3 linked regions of the Rhinolophus ferrumequinum genome follow. The protein of the gene in region 1 interacts with the protein of each later gene in a pairwise test. Links are inferred from orthologs where the notes say so. Each region holds a gene or a part of one and is shown on either strand. Other genes may lie near its edges. The genes, in order: AGTRAP, AP3M1 and HSCB.

Region 1 (6,905 bases):
ATGTCTAATGTCCAGGAAAGCTCCAACAAGAAACTGGGCCACAGGAACTGCCCTTCCCCAGAGTCCTGGAAGAGGGAACAGTGACTCATCTCGGCACAAAGGGACCGTCTTGTCTGCTGGCTCTGGGGGAGACTTCCAGTAATCAATGGGAGACCTGGGCTTCTCAGGTACCGCCACAGAGAAGCGGGGAGGGAGGGGGGCGGGACCTGAGAATGTGTCTGGTGGCCCAAGCACTTTCCTGGATGGACAAGAGGAAAGAAAGACCTGAACTAGACTCTTCATATAATGCATGGTCCAGGGGGGCTGCTGGGCTCTCTTCCAGATGGTGACCAATGTGTCAGAAGACCGAGGGAGGAGAGGGCTTGTGAGTCAAGGCAACACAGGGTAGCAGGATGCTGGGTTAGACATAGGAGACCTGGTTGTGGTCTAGGAGCCATGTCCCTCTGTGTCTGAGCCCTATGTTCCTTCTCTGTGAAATGGAGGCAATACCTATCACCTGTATGTCCCCTAGGGGTGCCTCAACTGCAGAGACACAGGCATCTGGACAGTCAATGTCTGTGTCTGCTTCATAACCATGAGTACCTATGTAGGACAGGTATCCTATAACCGTGAACAGCAAAAGCAACTCCTGCTGCTGATGAAGCCCTGCCTGCCAGTGTCTACACTGCCTTGAACACTTGACCCCTGTCATCCTTGCACCCACCGGTATACGGGGGAGAGTCTTAATCTCGCTTTACTTATGAAGAAACGGAGGCTGTGAGAGGGTAAACTGGCCCACACTGTAACACCGACAAATAAGAGAGGCCAGGTGCAGATCTCAGATGGTCTATCTGGTCTGAGGTTTTATGCCAGTAAAAATGTAAAGCTACACCACCTCCTGGACCACTAGCTCCTCCTCTTATCACCCTAGAAGATAGGGTTTATTTTTGTCCTCTTTTACAGTGAGGACACTGATACTGACAGGTTAAGAAACCTGCTCAAAGTCACGGTGAATAAGTAGCAAAGCCCAGCCTTGAATGTCTGGCCCCAAGGCCTGTGCTCTATCCATGTTATACTGTCAGGGTTTGGAAAAGCGGATGGAAATGGCGTTTAACCTGGAGAAGGGAAGGCTAAGGGGAAACCAAGGGGTCCTGTGGACTTAGACTACTTTGCCACCAGAAGCCCATGAGGGATGCGAGAGTGGGGGTGGGGGGGGATTTCCCCACAGGTGGTGCGCTGACCTCTCAGATCAACACACAGGTCGACATATGAAATATAGTCCTACCAGTCCCGTGCAAACACTCCATGACTTGTTATCTGAGGTGGTGAGATCCCAGAGGGTGGCTAGGGCTGAGGGACACAAATCAGGGCTGCCCTAGAGGGGAGGCGGAGTCAGGCAGTGGTTAACTGCATGAGCGCTGCAGCCAGATAGCTGATCCTGGCTCCATGCTGCAGAAGCTGTGTGACCTTGTGCAAGTTACTTGACTTCTCAGAACTGCAGCTTGCTCTTCCGTAAAGTAGGGACAATATGCCTGTTTCGTAGGGTTGTGCGGATCTAGTGGTACAGGGAAGTGGAGAGGTATGTGAATACTCAACACAGTGCCTGCCAGGTAAGCAGCCCTTGATACGAAGCTGTCCTCCTTACCATAGGAAGTCAGCTTCCTGAGTTCTCAACCCAAATGCTCCACTACCCGCCCCACCCCCACCCTCTTCCCACAAGGGCCTCTTTCCACAAGACGTCATGAACCCAAGTCTAGTCCTTTCTAAGCTTGTCACAGTGTCATCCCTCTGGCTCAAGACTTGCCTCAGGGATGGGGCTCAGCTAGGGACTACCTTTTGTGCAAAGGGCCTAGAGCAGCTATTTCTTTTAACCGGGTACCACTGCCCACTCTGGCTGGGCACAAGCTGGCATTCGGCCAATTCCCAAAGAATGTATGAAATAAGGGAGTGGGGAGGGAGGGCAGGCCCACGGGCTGCATTTCCCCAGCCCCCTCGGGGCCCTGATCTCGGAACAACCCACGAAAGTGCCTGTGAACCCGGGGTCAACAGCTACCCTCCATAGGAAGGCCAGATTTAACAATACGGCACACTTCATTTCAAATTTCAGATAATGCATAATTTGTTAGTATGTCCCAAATATTGCCTGGAATATACGTATGATAAAAAATTATTCATTGCTGATCTGAAATTCAAATTCAACTGGATATCCTATATGTTACCTGGCAACCCTGGTCCCTCAGGGCCTCCTGACACTTACTTGTCTCTGACTAGTAACAGCGGAAGACCTATATAGAGACAGAGGGTCTTTTTTCCCAAATCAAGGGAAGGACCAGAGTTTCATTCTGGGCACCGAAAGCCAGCACAGCTCACACCCATGGTAGTGCTTGGTCTGTCAGGCCAATAAGTTGCTGCAAAAAAGCCCCAAACAGACTTAAGTCCCCCTGATGGACATAAACTATCAAGGCAGAAGTCAGCCCTAACTGGTGACCAGGCAAGGTCTCAGGCTGGCTTTGAAGTCTGACCCTGGTGGGTTCAAATCCTGACTCTGCCACTTAATCCCTGTGGGACTTTGGCAAATTATTTATCTGATCTGAGCCAAGGTTTGCTCATCCGTAAAAGATGACAATATCAGCTTTCCCGGAAGGCTGTTGTGATTAAACAAATAACCTGGCACACCACAGATGCCCCAGGAATGAGAGTTTTCTTCCTTCTCAACTCCTGCAGCTTTGTCCTTCACCTGATTTTCTCTTAGCATTGTTTTAGGCAAATCGCTAGAGAAAAGGCAGTTGGCATTAACCCCACACTGCCTGGAACAGAGTGAGTATGGATGTTTCCCTCATGGCAATTTCTTCCCAGATAAACCTTCAACCCAAGCCCATTCTCTTGCTCCAGACATCTCTCCACGCAGCTGTTGACTAGAAGCTTCAGGGAGGTTGGTCCCAGCGAGCGTGATTACTGGAAGTCTGCCTGTATGAAGTCATAGCACAGAGCAGGTCTCATAACCCAAATATGAATGATGTGCTGTTTTGTAGTCATCTATCTTTTGGGTTCCTTTAGTACCGGACACCATGGCTGCTAAATGCTTTGTCACCAGTGAGTAAAAGGGCATTCCTGGATCCAGTCTCAAAGGAGACTGCACCGAGACCCAAAATGGCAGGTTTGGCGGAAGGTTCACCCCCTCCTGACCAAAGCTAAAAAGGCCACAGCCCCTCTGTCGCAAACCCAGCCAAGAAGCACAGCGGGCTGGGGTGTGGCGGGAGAAAATGAACCTCCGCCAGTGGCATCCTGAGGAGCTCAGGAGAGCCGCTCAGGAAATGAAGACATCCCAGGAAGCCCTGCAGTGTTTTACTAAGTGCACCAAGTTGTGGTTTTCTGGCGTTAAGCAACTTCTACTGGAGTTCGTGTTTCTTGGGAAATAAGGACGCAGGGTTGATACATTTTGTAAACCACCAGTCCGGGCACATCTACTTTTCTTAACCGGATTTAGCAAACAAAGGAGGCTACCTTGAAGTTATGGGAGGCCAGGTGAAAGGTCTAACACCTCTCTCCGTCTCCCTCCTCCGCCCTCCCTCTCTCCCTCTAGGTGGAGGGGAGGTGTCCGCCTCCAAGCCCCACTCCGGGTCTTAGTCCCTCCCCCGCGCCTTCCTCTTTCCCCAGGGGAATTCTGGTGGCGTAGGCCACAGCAATCCTCCAGGGCCGGGTGCTCCCAGTGGCAGGGATCCGACTGCCGGAGGGGGCGGCCCTTTCCCTCGGTTTTCCCTCCTGGCCTTTTCCTGGATCTCTCTCCCGGCCTTGGTTTGTCTGCCCGCCTCCTTCTCACCAGGGGTCTGTATCTTTTCTTTCTCCTTACGCCTTTTCTTTCCCAAACTCCCGGCCTTCTCACCTCCAAAATCCTACTTTAAAAGCGCAAACGGCCCCCACACTCCCGGAGACCCGCCCCGCGCCCGCCCGCCTGCGGCGTGGCCACCCCCGCCCCGCCCGTCGCCACCTTCAGGTTCACGGCTGGCAGCTCCATCCCGACCTAGGCGGAAGGCACCTGTGCGACAGCCGCGGGGTCTTGGAACTCGGGAAGCAAACTTGCCAGCACCAGCCAGCCCTGCTGCCTGGGCTCTAACCCCAGCTCAGCTCCCGGCCACGTGACTCGGGTCACATGACCACTGCCCGTTTGCCAGGGGACGGCGTCGGCCAGCACCCGCTTCCCGCTGGCTCCCAGCTCCGTCCACACGTTGCTCAGGGAGTTCCCGGGGGCGGCTGGAGAACATCAGGACTTTTGCCGCAAAGGGAGCAATATCTTGCCTGGTTAATATCCCAGCAGGTGGACTGACGGGACCACCTGCAGCCAGGAGAACTTGGGGGTATGTCCAGGTGCAAAGTGAGGATGTGGCAACAGCTGCTATCTCATCCTTCAGGAAATCCTCTCTCCTCTCGACCTTCCAGTGTTAGAGACATTGACGGTACCTACCTCAGAGGACCCTTGTGAGGATAAATGAACGAATCCATTTTGTTAAAGAAAAATTTATTCTGACATTTGTTAAAATGGTAGGGAAGACTTCACCCAACACTATTGCAATAGGGATGTTGCAGGAGGGGAGAAAAATCAAGCTTAACTATGAACAGCAAGGACAAGTGGGGTTTTATAGCGAAGCAGCAGAGTGAGGGCTCAGTAGATGGAAAATTACTAAGAGGAGACACTAAAGGCTGGGGGGATTCTTGCTAAACCAACCTAACAAGATTCTTGCTAAAGGCAGGCCAAGGACGTAGACATCAAAAGGTGAGGGAGGGCAGGTGAGGAACTTGATCAGATGTGGAGGGTGTTCAGTTATCCAGGGCAGGGGGATTCTTGCTAAAACTGGGCTATGCAGGCCCAGCAAGAACAGGTTGCACACCGAGGCCAGGCTGAGGCCGAGTTTGAGGAGAAGCCTCATGAGCCTAACTAAAGTTTGGTCAAGGATAGAGTTTTTGTCAAAGGAAAGTGCCTAGAAAAGTGCCTGGCACTTACTCGATGAGCAGTACATAGAAAATATTGTTGTTATCAACACACAAGGGGCCACTTGAATGAACAAACTAAAAGCTGTAGAAAAATCCATCTGGAAGACCAGCAGAAAACCTGTAGGACACACCTGTTTCCAGAAAAAAGCAGACCAGTGAAGAAAGAGTCTGTCAAGACACCTGTTTGCCTCTTAACCAAGAATGGAAGAAATTGAGGAAAGAGAGAGCTGTCTCACCTGCCGTCTCAAAGGCTGTTGACCACCTCCCAACAGGAATGTAAATCCCCACTACCGCCATCCTCCCCTGTACCCCATCCTTCACCCATGACCAGAGAAAACTTTATTTAGAGGGTCCCCTACGGTCTGTCTGACAACTTGTTCGTGTCTCCAGGACAGGAGAGACCATGTGGGAACCTGCGAAACTGCCTGGGTGGGTCCTGAGATCATATCAAGACATATACTCTCTCCAACACAAAGGAAAGACTGCAGGACCTGCAGTACCCACTGACCTAATTTAATGCCCCATTCAGAGACAAAGCCCTCCAGCCCAGGGGTAGAGCAGCATAGCATCTGCCATTGTAACTGAGAGCTGGTGATCTTTAGAGACCAGCCCAATGGGTACAGCTCATTTAGCTTGATTTTTGGGGATTTAAAGCACAGGGGAACTGCGCTAGAACAGAGCAACAGAGTTTGAGTCCTGGCTTTGTCCACTTACTGGTTGAACTTGGGTAAGTCACTTTGCCTCTCGGTGCTTCAGTTTTCTCATCTGTAAAATGAGGATAATAACAGTGGCTTCCTCCAAAGCGTTGTTAGGATTTATTAATACATGAAAAACATTTAGGACAGTGTCTGGCAGACAGTAAGCACTTAGTCAGGATTGGCTGTACTTTTATTAATAATTATTAGTGTATTAGTGTTAATTATTGTTGTCAGTAGAGTACATAGAAAAGAGTAATTCCTCAATAAGTGGTGGGTATTTTTTTAAAAAAGATTTTATTGGGGAAGGGGAACAGGACTTTATTGGGGAACAGCATGGACTTCCAGGTCTTTTTCCAAGTCAAGTTGTTGTCCTTTCAGTCTTAGTTGTGGAGGGCGCAGCTCAGCTCCAGGTCCAGTTGCCGTTGTTAGTTGCAGGGGGCACAGCCCACCATCCCTTGTGGGAGTCGAGGAGTCGAACCGGCAACCTTGTGGTTGAGAGCTGTATTCATCCTGACCAGCTGGGGAAGTGGGGACAGACCCAGTTGGCTGGGGTGGGGAGGGAACACAAGAAAGTAAAACTATTCTTAAAGGAGTCAGAGTTCCTGCCGTGACCCAGTTGTAACTATGGAAGGTCAAATGGACCCCCACAAAGCATATTCCACAAGGCTTTGGGGTCATACTTTTGTAAGTCAAGTTTAAATTTTTCTCTTATAAATTTTATTGGGGAATGTTGGAGAACAGTATGTTTCTTCAGGGCCCATCAGCTCCAAGTCGTTGTTCTTCAGTCTAGTTGTGGAGGGTGCAGCTCAGCTCCAAGTCCAGTCGCCGTTTTCAATCTTTAGTTGCAGGGGGCGCAGCCCACCATCCCATGTGAGGAATTGAACCGGCAACCTTGTTGTTGAGAGCTCGCACTCTAACCAACTGAGCCATCCTGCCGCCCCAAGTTTAAAGTTTTCATGTCCCTGACCAATCCTGTCTGTCTCGGCCAAGTTTTATCTTTGTACCTTCAACAAAGAATCTGACATGCAGAATAGATTCGTTCATTCATTCATTCATTCATTCATTCAGAGAATAGTTATTGAACACCTACTTGGGTAAATATCTAGGAGTGGAATGGCTGGACCATATATGACGGGTGTATATTTGGCTTTTTAAGAAATTGCCAAACTGTTTTCCAAGTTGGTTGTACTGTCCTATTGTAATTTCTTCATAGCACTTACCAATATGTGAAGGTATTGA
Region 2 (6,905 bases), on another chromosome or scaffold:
TAACCTTTTAGCAGCTGTAGTTCTTTTATTATTTTAATAAACTTCCTGGGAAAGCTACACACTCACCACCACCACAACTATCCTTTGAGTCAGAAAGCAGAATTCTCCCAATTTATTTTAAAGCCACTTGAGAAACTGTGCTCAGAGGCTGTTCCACCCGACTTCTGACTGCAGCTTAAATATGTCATAAATTCCCTTTACCAAATGTTGAACACACTCATTCTGATGATTCATAATCAGTGCAATTACAATAGTCAAAATATCCTTGGAAGATAGTGTCTAAAAAAGAAAATGTGTTTCTTCTATATATATAACAGAATAAAGGCATGGAAGGTGAGATAGGCATATCCAAGGCCAGAGAATAAGACCAGAAAATAATGTAGCTTCCCTGATTCTCAGCCAATATTTTCACCATTTATTCATTCAACAAGTAGTTTTGAATATGTTTTATATATTAAGCAATGGGGATACAAAGGTGAACAAATTAGAGTCCCTGAACTCACGTTTAGAGTTCAACGAAGAAGGCAAACAACTTAATACAGTAAAATGTAATTCCTATTATGATAGGGGAGATACAGTGTGCTATAGAAATTCACAGGCTTTGATGTGAGAGAAAACACAAGACAAATCCAGTACAAATTCATCAATTTTAGGAGGCGGAGGGAAGTTGTGAGATGAGACTGGAGAAGAAGATAAGCAGAGATTAGTTCACTTTATTCTCTGGGCAATGTAAAATCATTTTCTATGGTTTTATGGAGGAGATTCATGCAATCCAATTTACAGTTTTAAGATTGTACTGCGGGAACTGCATAATGGGGCAACTGAGTATCGTGAGACCAGTTGAGAGATGTGTTATGGTGGTGGCCTGAACTAGAGTGTTGACAGTAAGGATGGAGGAAAATGAAAAGAGAAACATTCAGGTTTGAGCAAAGATTAGGGAGGGGGCGGGGTGGAGATGAGAGGGGAAAATGAGGCATTTAGCCCTAATCCTGTATAATCTGATCCAAATCTGGATATATTTGACTCAAATGGATATATTCAAAAGACTTTTGTATATATAGGTCTGGTGCTTTAGAGAGAAGCCAAGTTTGAGATCGATTTGTGAGTAATCATGATTTTTTACTAATGGGAATTGTAACTATAAGGAGAATAAAATTACAGAGAGAGAATGTGCATAGTAGAAGAGAAACTGTGGAAGGAACTCCAACATTTGAGTAGCAGTTGGGTCAAGCAAGTAGGCCTAAAAAAGAAGACTAAGATATGGCTGAAGAGGGAATAAAAAAAAGGGGGTGGGGAGGATAATGTTTTTTAGTGACTAGAGTGTGTTAGTGTGTTTCCAAAAGAATGGAGTATTAAACATTTTAAATGGCACAAAGAATTCAAGCTACAAGAACTGAAAATGACTGTTGATTTAATAGTGTTTCTCAACTTTCTTTTCATTATTACCTGCTTTTTCAGATTTCCCTTCAATCATACCCCTCCCATAAAAATTTTAGTACTACAGTATATCTGTATATCTCTTTATGTACTGTAAACATATCTTTGCTTTATACATAAAAAGAGTATGATTTTTTCGTTTGTTTCACAAGAGGCAATTTTTGTCCCCACTGAGATATATGATTTAACACAGGACACTGGTGATCTTTATAAAAGTAGTTTCAGTGGTCGTTTAGCTGGAAACTAGATATGCTACAGTGCGCTGATAAATAAATAGCATGAAGTGGGAAGAAAATAGATAAGGCGAGTAGTTGATACATTCAAGAGCTCTAGCTGTGAAGGGGATGAAAAGACAAGAAAATAAATAGGAGTGGTTCATAAAATTAAGGAAGATGATTTTTACATGCTGAATGAAAGGTGTGAGTAGAGGGGAAAGACTGATGATGTAGGAGAATAACTGAAAAAAAGAAGACCCGGAGACAGTAGGAGAGAATGGTATTGGGAGACTAGGTGAAAGGATTTGACCAAACGGCAAGATTTGTATATTTGGTTGCAGGAAGATGATGGCTTTTATTTTCTGTGTGTAATAAGAGAGGTCATTTGTAGAGGGAGAGAGACTACAAATACCATTTGCTACCCATGAATAGAGATATTATTGAGCTTCTTAAATATTCTTAAAAATATCTAATCAGCAGGGAACTCCAATAATATATTATGTTGACTATTTAGAAACATTGTAAAAATCCTAAGATTCAGTAAGAAAAGCTAACCTTATTTCAAAAAGAGCTTTCCTACTAAAGATATGTCAGGTAATTCTTCATTTACCTCATTCCTCCACTTTTCCTATGTTTTCAATGGAAAGTGTCCTCCTTTGTTTCCAGAGCTAATTCTTCCATTTGTAATTTTGATCCCATTTCCTTTCGTCTTTTCCAAGGTCTTTATCTCCTCTTTTTGAATCTTTAATCTTAGACATGGGTTACTTGCTTTCTGCACCAAAACTTAATGTATTTTGTATTCTTTAAAAACAAACAAACCTCAAACCTTTTAGGGATCTTGTCATGCTCAATAATCTTTTGCTTCATACTCCAAATGAGTTCACTTGCAGTCTCTCCTCTCAGTAACTGACTCTATTCAAGTCGCTCTCTCAAATGGCTAACTTCCTAATCAACAAATCCAACAACCTACTCTCAGACTTCAATTTACTCCTTTGACCCTTGTACATTTCATGGTAACGTTCCTCCAAACAAACCAAGTACTTCTTATCCTCTTATATGAAACTTCACCTGTTTGGGTTCTCACCTTGTAAGTTTCTTTCCGGATTACTTCCCACACTTTTTTTCTTTTAATCTTTCTACCATTTCCATCTAAATCACTGTTTCAACCTCGATATATCCCTAAGTTCCACAAAATTCCTTCTCCTCATCCGACGGCTCCTAATTCTATAGTGGCACCACCTACTTAAAGTATAGGCTTCAGGTTCAATCCAAATCTACCAAATCCAACCAGCCACATCGCTCATCACTTTTCCATATTCACTCTCTCCTGAAGAAGTGCAATCCCCTCCTCACTGTATTCCCCACCCCAGACAAGAGGTCCGCTCGGCTCGGTCAGAGGTTTTGTTCTCCAAAGCAGAAGCCTGGGGCTGACGTCCGAATCGTTGGCACTCCAGCTCACTATGGGTGACAAGACCTTTTTCTCGCGCCGGAGAACCCCAATGAGCCTGAATCTCTGGTTTGGGGCCTGAAAACACTGAGCTGCAGGTGCACCGCTCCCTTCCGGCCCTGCTGGCAAGAAAGCCCGGAAGGCCGGGAGCGAGGCGCGGTCCCGGCCCACAGCACCGGAGACGCTCCGGTCCGCAGTCCAAGCTGGAGTCCGGAACCCCAGCTATTCAGCTTACTCCCCAGGTTCCGAACTGTCCCCTGACCTCAGACTCCCCGCCCCTCACACTCACCCCGACACCTGGGCCTGTCAGTGATTCGGCGCCGGGTCCTCTCCGGACCGAGGCTGAGGCAGCTGAGAAGACCGTGAGGACCCCGCAGTTGGAGTGCCCAGTAGATTGCCTGACTAACAGCTTCAAAGAAACCAACTAGGTCTACCGATTTGGAAATATTAAATAAGCGGGAAGACATTGAATGAGAAGAAACATGTCTCTTGCGGTTTAGGATATAAATCTTTTAGATCACCCAGAATCTAGAAGAATGGGGGGCAATCTCACACCATCTGGATTCAGGCGCTCATCCGCAGCCTAACTCAGTCTGGGGTCCCCCTATAGTTGGGTGGGCGGGGCCATGAAGGGTTTGTATATTAGCTAATGGGTGGAGCCGAGAGGTAGAACCAATGACTGTGGGTGGGAGAGGCATAGACTGGGAGGAGTCGGGAGGGCGGGGTTAGTAAAAAGAAGGCGGTGATACGAGAGGGGGCGGGGCCAGAGAGTCGAAGGGGCGCACGCCGGTGCCTAAGTGGGTTGGGAGCGTAAAGATGGCCGCGGCTGAGCAGGAGCCGAAACCCAAAAAGCTGAAGGTGGAAGCTCCGCGAGCGCTGAGGTGAGCGCTACCCTAGGAAGGGTAGAGGGTGACGGCACCTGCCGCGACCCGGGCCCACGTGTAGTTGTGCGGCCCTGGCGCTGGGTGGCGTCCTCGCTGCCGGCATGGGGCCAAAGTGCAGAAACCGCTGCTCCGGGAGCTGCCCGCAGGGCTGCGATCTCTTGTCAGGTGCCCGCCCAGTTTGGCTGAGTCGCCTCGTGCTCCGGAGCGGCTCCCGCCGCCGGTGACCAATCAGAGCGCCGGTCGGGGTTGCGGAGCCGGATGAGAGCTAAATGCAGGCGCCACGTGGGAGCCCTCTCAGGCTGGGCTGGTGAGAGACCCGGGAGAACCGGGCAGGACCAGCGCACGGTCAAACGCGGCCATCTCCTCTTCCCTGTGGGGTGACGAGGAGGAGACCCAGCGACTGCTCTGCCCTGGGGCAAAGACATAATTCTTGGGGATTTTTTCGTAAATGTCGCGGAAGGACGACTTGACCTTCCTTTTCATAGAGACTGATTGCTGGCACCTGTGAAGATCATCTGCCAGGGACTCAGTCCCCGCCTCTGAGGCTTTGTGGGGGCGGCCTTTGGCTGAATGGTTAGGAAAGGCTGATTTTTCTTTTTTTCTTTGTACTTTTTGGCAGCAATGGGGAGAGTTCTGCGTCCGACACCTGCCTCACATGTGATTGATGTCGCAACTTTCACTTATCAAAAGCTGTTTGTTAAATATACCTTCCTAATAAGTATAAAGTGCAGTGTGCACAGTCCTTGCTTTTGCAATAATCGTTGGAAAGCAATGATTTTTCTAATTAAAAAGGGACATATCGAATTGATTTAAAACTATTGGGACACGCCTGATTATACAAGAGAAATCTCATTTCTTCCAGCATCACCCCTCTTTACCTCCGAAAGAATGAATCATTCATAATTGAAAAGAAAGGGTCTCTTAGGGGTTTGGTGGTGTGTTCATGCTGTTTTGAATGGATGGTGACCAAATCCCTGCCAGTGCCTTTAATGTATTTCTACTACCGTCAAAGGGTTAATGTGCCTACCTCATACGAAGAAAATAAACTTTATTTTGTAACAACTCAGGATGTTCTATTTTTATTTTAAGTTTACAAACTATAGAGTAAAAGGGGCTTTTGAATTAGACCTATCTGGGTTCGAGTGCTTTCCCTATTGACCCATTATTAGAGTGTTTCCTTAAAAGTCACCTCTTTTCACAAAGTTTCCTCTAGTAAATTGGCAGACAGATGCAACTTTTCCCTACTATCCTACTAAACAAACTGCCCTTAGATTTTCCTATGTTAATCCATTTTCAAAGTGCTTTCCTATTTTACAGATGAAGAAATTGAAGCTCAAATGAAATATTTAGTTAACTGTTTGAACCCAGAGCATTTGGGTGCAAGTTCATTGTTGTTGGACTCTACTGTGTCTACTTTTATATAACCACCAAAGGTATACTTTCTGCCTATGCATCCTTACAACGAATGATAAATAATGTTTAATACTTAAGTATGTATTTGCTAGACACTATATCAGCACTGAACCTATTTTAAGTCATTCAATTCCACAACAACCTTACAATGTGGGTACTGTAATTATCTCTATTTTACCAAGGAGGAAACAGGCATAGAGAGATTAAGTAATTTATCAAGGTCACTTATCTAGTAGGGTTGGGATTTTAATCCAGGTAGTTTGATTCCAAGTCTGTACTCTTAATTACCATGCTATACTTAATTAACTTCAAGCAATTTATTCCAAAATACTAGTGAATTGTTAACTCAGTTTTTGTTTGTTTCTCCACTACTTTTGCTTCTGGGTGTTTTTTGTTGTTGTTGTTGTTAGTGTACGTAACTTTTTATGTTGTTGCAATATGTGGGCATATGATACAAAATAATTCTTAAATATATATAATATATTTTGTATATCATTAATGTATTTAACACTTGTAAAAGTCTTTAGGCCACTGAAACTCATTTTATACACTATCTACTTAATGCCACCTGTAGATTTAAAGTTAAAAGATTTAGACACTTGAGGGCTGGGACAAATCTCTTAATTTTGTGTGAAGATGTTTCAGGATTGGCTGTTTCTACTTTCATTATATTAGTTTGGCTTTAAGGGTTGAGTGGGATTATACACTGAGTGGTCAGACTGCATGCGTTATTTATGATGACTTGCTTGACAATTCAGAGGCTAGCTATCAGTTTTGGTTAACTTTTAGGGAGAATGACTTACAAAGTCTAAGCCTAAGTTAATGTGTAGATCAGTCAGTGAGGGAACACATAAGTTTATGAGATATTTGTAGATGCCAGGGAAAGGATTTAGACTTTTGTGACAATTTCAGAATTCTGGAGTAGCAGTGCTCAACCACGGGAAATTTTGGAAGTGTCTGGAGACATTTTTGTTGGGGACTGCTACTGGTTCTCAACCAGAGGACATTTTGCAAATGTCTGGAGTCATTTTTTTGGAGCGTGCTATTGGCACCCCGTGGGTAGAGTTCAAGGATGCTGCTAAACAACCTGCAATGCACAGGAAGCCCCCTACAACAAAGACTTATTCAGCCAAAATTGACAATAATAGTGTTGAGATTGAAAAAACTCTGCTCTAGGGGGAGCATCTGACAAGTCTAGCCTCCCTTTCTCAAATGGGCATAGTTTTTCTAACCTGGATTGCTTTTCAGGGTAGCAGTTACTAAAGTTGCAATAAATAAGCAGACGCTAACATGTTTTCACATTGAGTTGGGGATCAGACGGGAACATTAATTGAGACATTATACTTGGTGCTGTATGTATGCTATATCATTTAATCTTCCCAGCAACTTGTGAGGTAGGCGTAACGATCCCTGTGTTACAGGTGAGGTATTTAGGGCTGAAAAAAGTCTAGAAGAATTTTTGGGAACTGCTTTCTAGGTGAAGGTGCTCCACGATGCTTACCTATATTT
Region 3 (3,600 bases), on another chromosome or scaffold:
AGAACTGTGTGACCCATGGGGAGTCATTTCTCCACTTGAGAGCTTGAAGTAGATATTTGGGAAGATTCTATTAAATCCTAAAATTCTAAGGTGTTCACCTCACCCTCCAAAAAAAAAAAAAATGTCCAAAACTACTCTTTCCTAAAAGTCATCACCATCCAATCCTTGAATTTATCGAAAAATGGTTTTTAAAAAATGCAATTGGGCAAGTAACATTTACAGAGGATATTCAGAGAAAACTATACTCATGTAGCACCCCCTTTTTTTTTTTTTTAAGGAGGGCGCAGCTCAAAGTGGCCCATGTGGGGATCGAACCGGCAACCTTGGTGTTATCAGCATCACACTCTAACCAACTGAGCTAACCAACCACCCCCATCATGTAGTATCTTTGAGGCTAAATGTAGTTGGGTCCCTGGACTAGATCAGGTCTCAAGCACTCCTCTGCTGAATACAGGGCAGCAGCTGTACCATAGTGGACAGCAGGCAGTCATGCACAGAAGGGTTGGGAAATCACCTTACAAGGTATACTCCCCTGGTCAGGGGGGCCAGAAGGGTCTTATAGGCGTCATTCACCAGGGTTGAATGCTTCTCTGAGAAATCCTTTTCAATCTGTTAGTGGATATGGAGATAGTCTTATTACCATCCAAATCAGCCATCTGATATTCACAAGCTGTTTCATAAAATACTGATGGGCAGGCACTTAAGGAAGTGGCCAAAATAGAACCAGTGTGGGATAAGATTTATTTATTTTCAACTGATGGATTCTAATTTTGCAGGACAGGTCCAGGGCCTGCCTGGCTGGCGTCTGGTTGCCACAGGATAGAGCTGGCTATCCCTGATAATCACACAACCGCAAGACCACCGCCACCCACCCAGAATGCATATGTGTGTGGGTATGATTAGGGGTGGCCAATAGGCTACCTGAGACCTCTGGCTGAAGAAATCCGGGTGCACAAGACGCTGTAATTGCTGGTACCTATGCTGGAGCTTCACAGTGTCAACTCTGAAGGAACGGTTGCTGGAAGAAAATAGGGAGATAACATTCATGCATCAAGTATTTATAGATTTGTATACTATGGGTCTTGTTCCTGTTCCCATGGGGAAATATACAATAAACATGCAGACAGATAATTTCCAAAAATGGTAGGTGCTGTGAAGAAAAACGGAAAGGGGTCTGCGAGAGTGGTAAATGTGGTGGACAAAGAGATGGCATTTGAGCTGCAAGATGAATGATGATGAAGAGTAATCAAATGTCAGAGGAAATGTGCTAAGGTCCTGAGGTGGGAACGAGTTTCCCACCCTTGAGGAACTTAAAAGGGTAGTGTTACTGCAGCCCTTCGTAAGTGCACAGTGATTGGTGGGGTCAGATCTCAGAGTTAAGGGGAAGGGGGATTCCCAATCCCTCCCTATCTTTCCGAGGCCTGGGTTCCTTCATCTCCGCCTCCCACTTTATTTTAACCTAATCCCTTTTGCTTTCTATTCCCAGAGCCTGCCCCATTTTACAAGTTTAGCTCCGCCCAAACTTTACCACTTCCCCGAAGCTCCTCAACCTTGAGAGAAAAACAAGAAAAACACCTATTCCTCAGATCTTCTCCCTCCAATTCTCACTTTTCCCTTAGGCTCTGTCCACAGTATTAAGTTTTTCCATGCTTTTACTCCCTTATTTTGGATAACACGTCAGTACTCCTTTCTTAAAAGTCTCAACCCAACTTTTATGGTTCTGATCCTAACCCTCAAGTTTCCCTTCTCCAAGGGCCCTTCAAGGACCCTTCCTTCAGACCCCACCTCTCAACTTCGCCTTCTCTCAGGGCCCGCCCCTCAAGTTTCCCTCTACCTTAGTAGTCTCCGTCCCTCAATTTCCTCTAACTTCATTTCCCACCCCTCCAGTCCTCCCTCCACCCTGTCTCCATCCCTCAAAGCCGTTCCTTCAGGCCCGCCCCACAATTTCCTCTTTCTCAGGACCATCCTCCATTCTCCCAGGCCCGACACCCACCTAGACACTGGTCTCCAAGGCTCCGCCCACCTATCTAACTGGCCCCTCCTTCTGCTTCCCAAACCTGATCGGCCCTTCCCTCTCGCACCTCTATCCCTGACTTCTCTCTCGCTCCGGGGCGTTTCCCGAAGCCGTTTCCGTACCAGTCCATAAGGCTGAAGTGGTCCCGAGTGGAGTCAGGCGGCTGCAGCGCACGGCACTGCGGGCAGAAGAACCCGTCCCCACCAATGGGGCCCCTTGGGCCGCCGCAGTTCCAACACTGGGGGCAGTTGCTTCCCGCTAGTGACGCAGCATTACAGCTTATTGGTCTCCTTCCGAGGACCCCAGTCGGCCACAACCCCCACACCCGGAGCAACGCTCGGGTTCTCCCGCTCCACATTTGGCTCGCGGCCTAGTTTCGCCGCGGTCACCTGTAGGGGGATAAGGGGACAAATGGCCCACCAGACTAGTGTTGCTGATTGGCTGGAGGACTGAGGGGGCGGGATCACCCGAGGGAAACCTGGATTCTGAGTCCCGCTCTGAATTTTAAACTACAACTCCCATCAAGCAGTGAGGCTATCGTGGACGGCTACATCCGCTGCTCCTCATTGGTCCGGCAGAAGCGGAGGAATGTTTTGATTGGCTGAGGGTGGACTTTGTATCTGTTTAGCGCCAGTTCGCTAGTGGTGGTAGCTGTGAGTCTGTGGCTCCAGGTGGGCGCACGAGGTGAGTTATAGTGGGGATCTTCTGTCTGGTGTGTGGGAGTTCGAATCCCGCTCTCAGGGAATTAAGGCGAACTAAATCTCTCGAGCTTCCGCTTTGAGCTCTGTTTGAGCTTCGGCGGGGGTGGGGTGGGGTGAGAGGAATGCGTGGACGACTCTCTTCCTTCGTAGATGAACTTCCAGTTACTTCCTCACTTACAAGCTGTAACTGGCCCAGACATACAGGATAAGAAGGAACAAAGTTGTGCTCTTCAAAATGAGAGCAAAGTTGCTTTGTGAAGAGTTCTAGAAATGTCAGTAATTATTGCCATACTTTAGATTCAATCTTGAAAATAACGTATTGAGAACCCATTTTTAGCGGATAGGCACTGCAGGAATTGGAAATATACTTACTTGTGTAGGAGGATGCTATGCAAGTGTCCATAAGTAAGTGTGTGGAATGGGATGGCTAGGAGAGGGTAGGGGTACCAGTCCTCCTTGGGATTCGGTTTCTCTATTAGAAAATAAAAGATTGTGTTGCACTTGTAAGGTCTTTCCGGCTGTTGGATTCTTGGGGATTGGAATTCTGTTGTCCCAATTATCAAGGATAGTCGAGGAGGAGAGTTCATGTATCATCTCGTTTAATCGGAAAGATCTATCTACTTTATTCAGATAAGGTTTCAAGAGGTTGATTTACCTAAAGGTCATGCAAAGATTTTTTAGGCATCTGACTCCAGACCTATTTGCCTCTAACCACTCCACTGTACTTTCTCTACACTGAGGCCAGTGTGATCCCAGCCTGGTAGACCCTTATTTATCATAAGCGATGATAGTTACCTCTTGACACACTGTCTTTTGCCAGTTTTCAGGGCGGAGAAGTCTTGCTCAAAAAAAACTGCAGAAGGACACACTCAGCCTGGCTGAGGT

The links.
Region 2: the proteins of AGTRAP (region 1) and AP3M1 interact in binary tests that used the Homo sapiens proteins (3 or more experiments, as listed by UniProt). The two-hybrid records come from large-scale screens. The link is inferred for Rhinolophus ferrumequinum from reciprocal best matches to the Homo sapiens genes AGTRAP and AP3M1.
Region 3: the proteins of AGTRAP (region 1) and HSCB interact in binary tests that used the Homo sapiens proteins (3 or more experiments, as listed by UniProt). The two-hybrid records come from large-scale screens. The link is inferred for Rhinolophus ferrumequinum from reciprocal best matches to the Homo sapiens genes AGTRAP and HSCB.

Annotation. Positions count from the first base shown.
Region 1 is NC_046292.1:7,936,417-7,943,321, reverse strand, and holds the start of AGTRAP (type-1 angiotensin II receptor-associated protein), read right to left. Parts: upstream 4,124-6,905; 5' UTR 3,995-4,123; coding exon 3,968-3,994; intron 1-3,967. UniProt on the Homo sapiens protein: Appears to be a negative regulator of type-1 angiotensin II receptor-mediated signaling by regulating receptor internalization as well as mechanism of receptor desensitization such as phosphorylation.
Region 2 is NC_046299.1:51,445,346-51,452,250, forward strand, and holds the start of AP3M1 (AP-3 complex subunit mu-1), read right to left. Parts: upstream 3,649-6,905; 5' UTR 3,389-3,648; intron 2,454-3,388; exon of another isoform or gene 2,263-2,453; intron 1-2,262. Other genes in the region: ADK (adenosine kinase), read left to right, coding at 3,916-3,980. UniProt on the Homo sapiens protein: Part of the AP-3 complex, an adaptor-related complex which is not clathrin-associated. The complex is associated with the Golgi region as well as more peripheral structures.
Region 3 is NC_046308.1:18,320,816-18,324,415, reverse strand, and holds the start of HSCB (iron-sulfur cluster co-chaperone protein HscB), read right to left. Parts: upstream 2,427-3,600; 5' UTR 2,373-2,426; coding exon 2,137-2,372; intron 1,019-2,136; coding exon 922-1,018; intron 610-921; coding exon 520-609; coding exon of another isoform or gene 515-519; intron 1-514.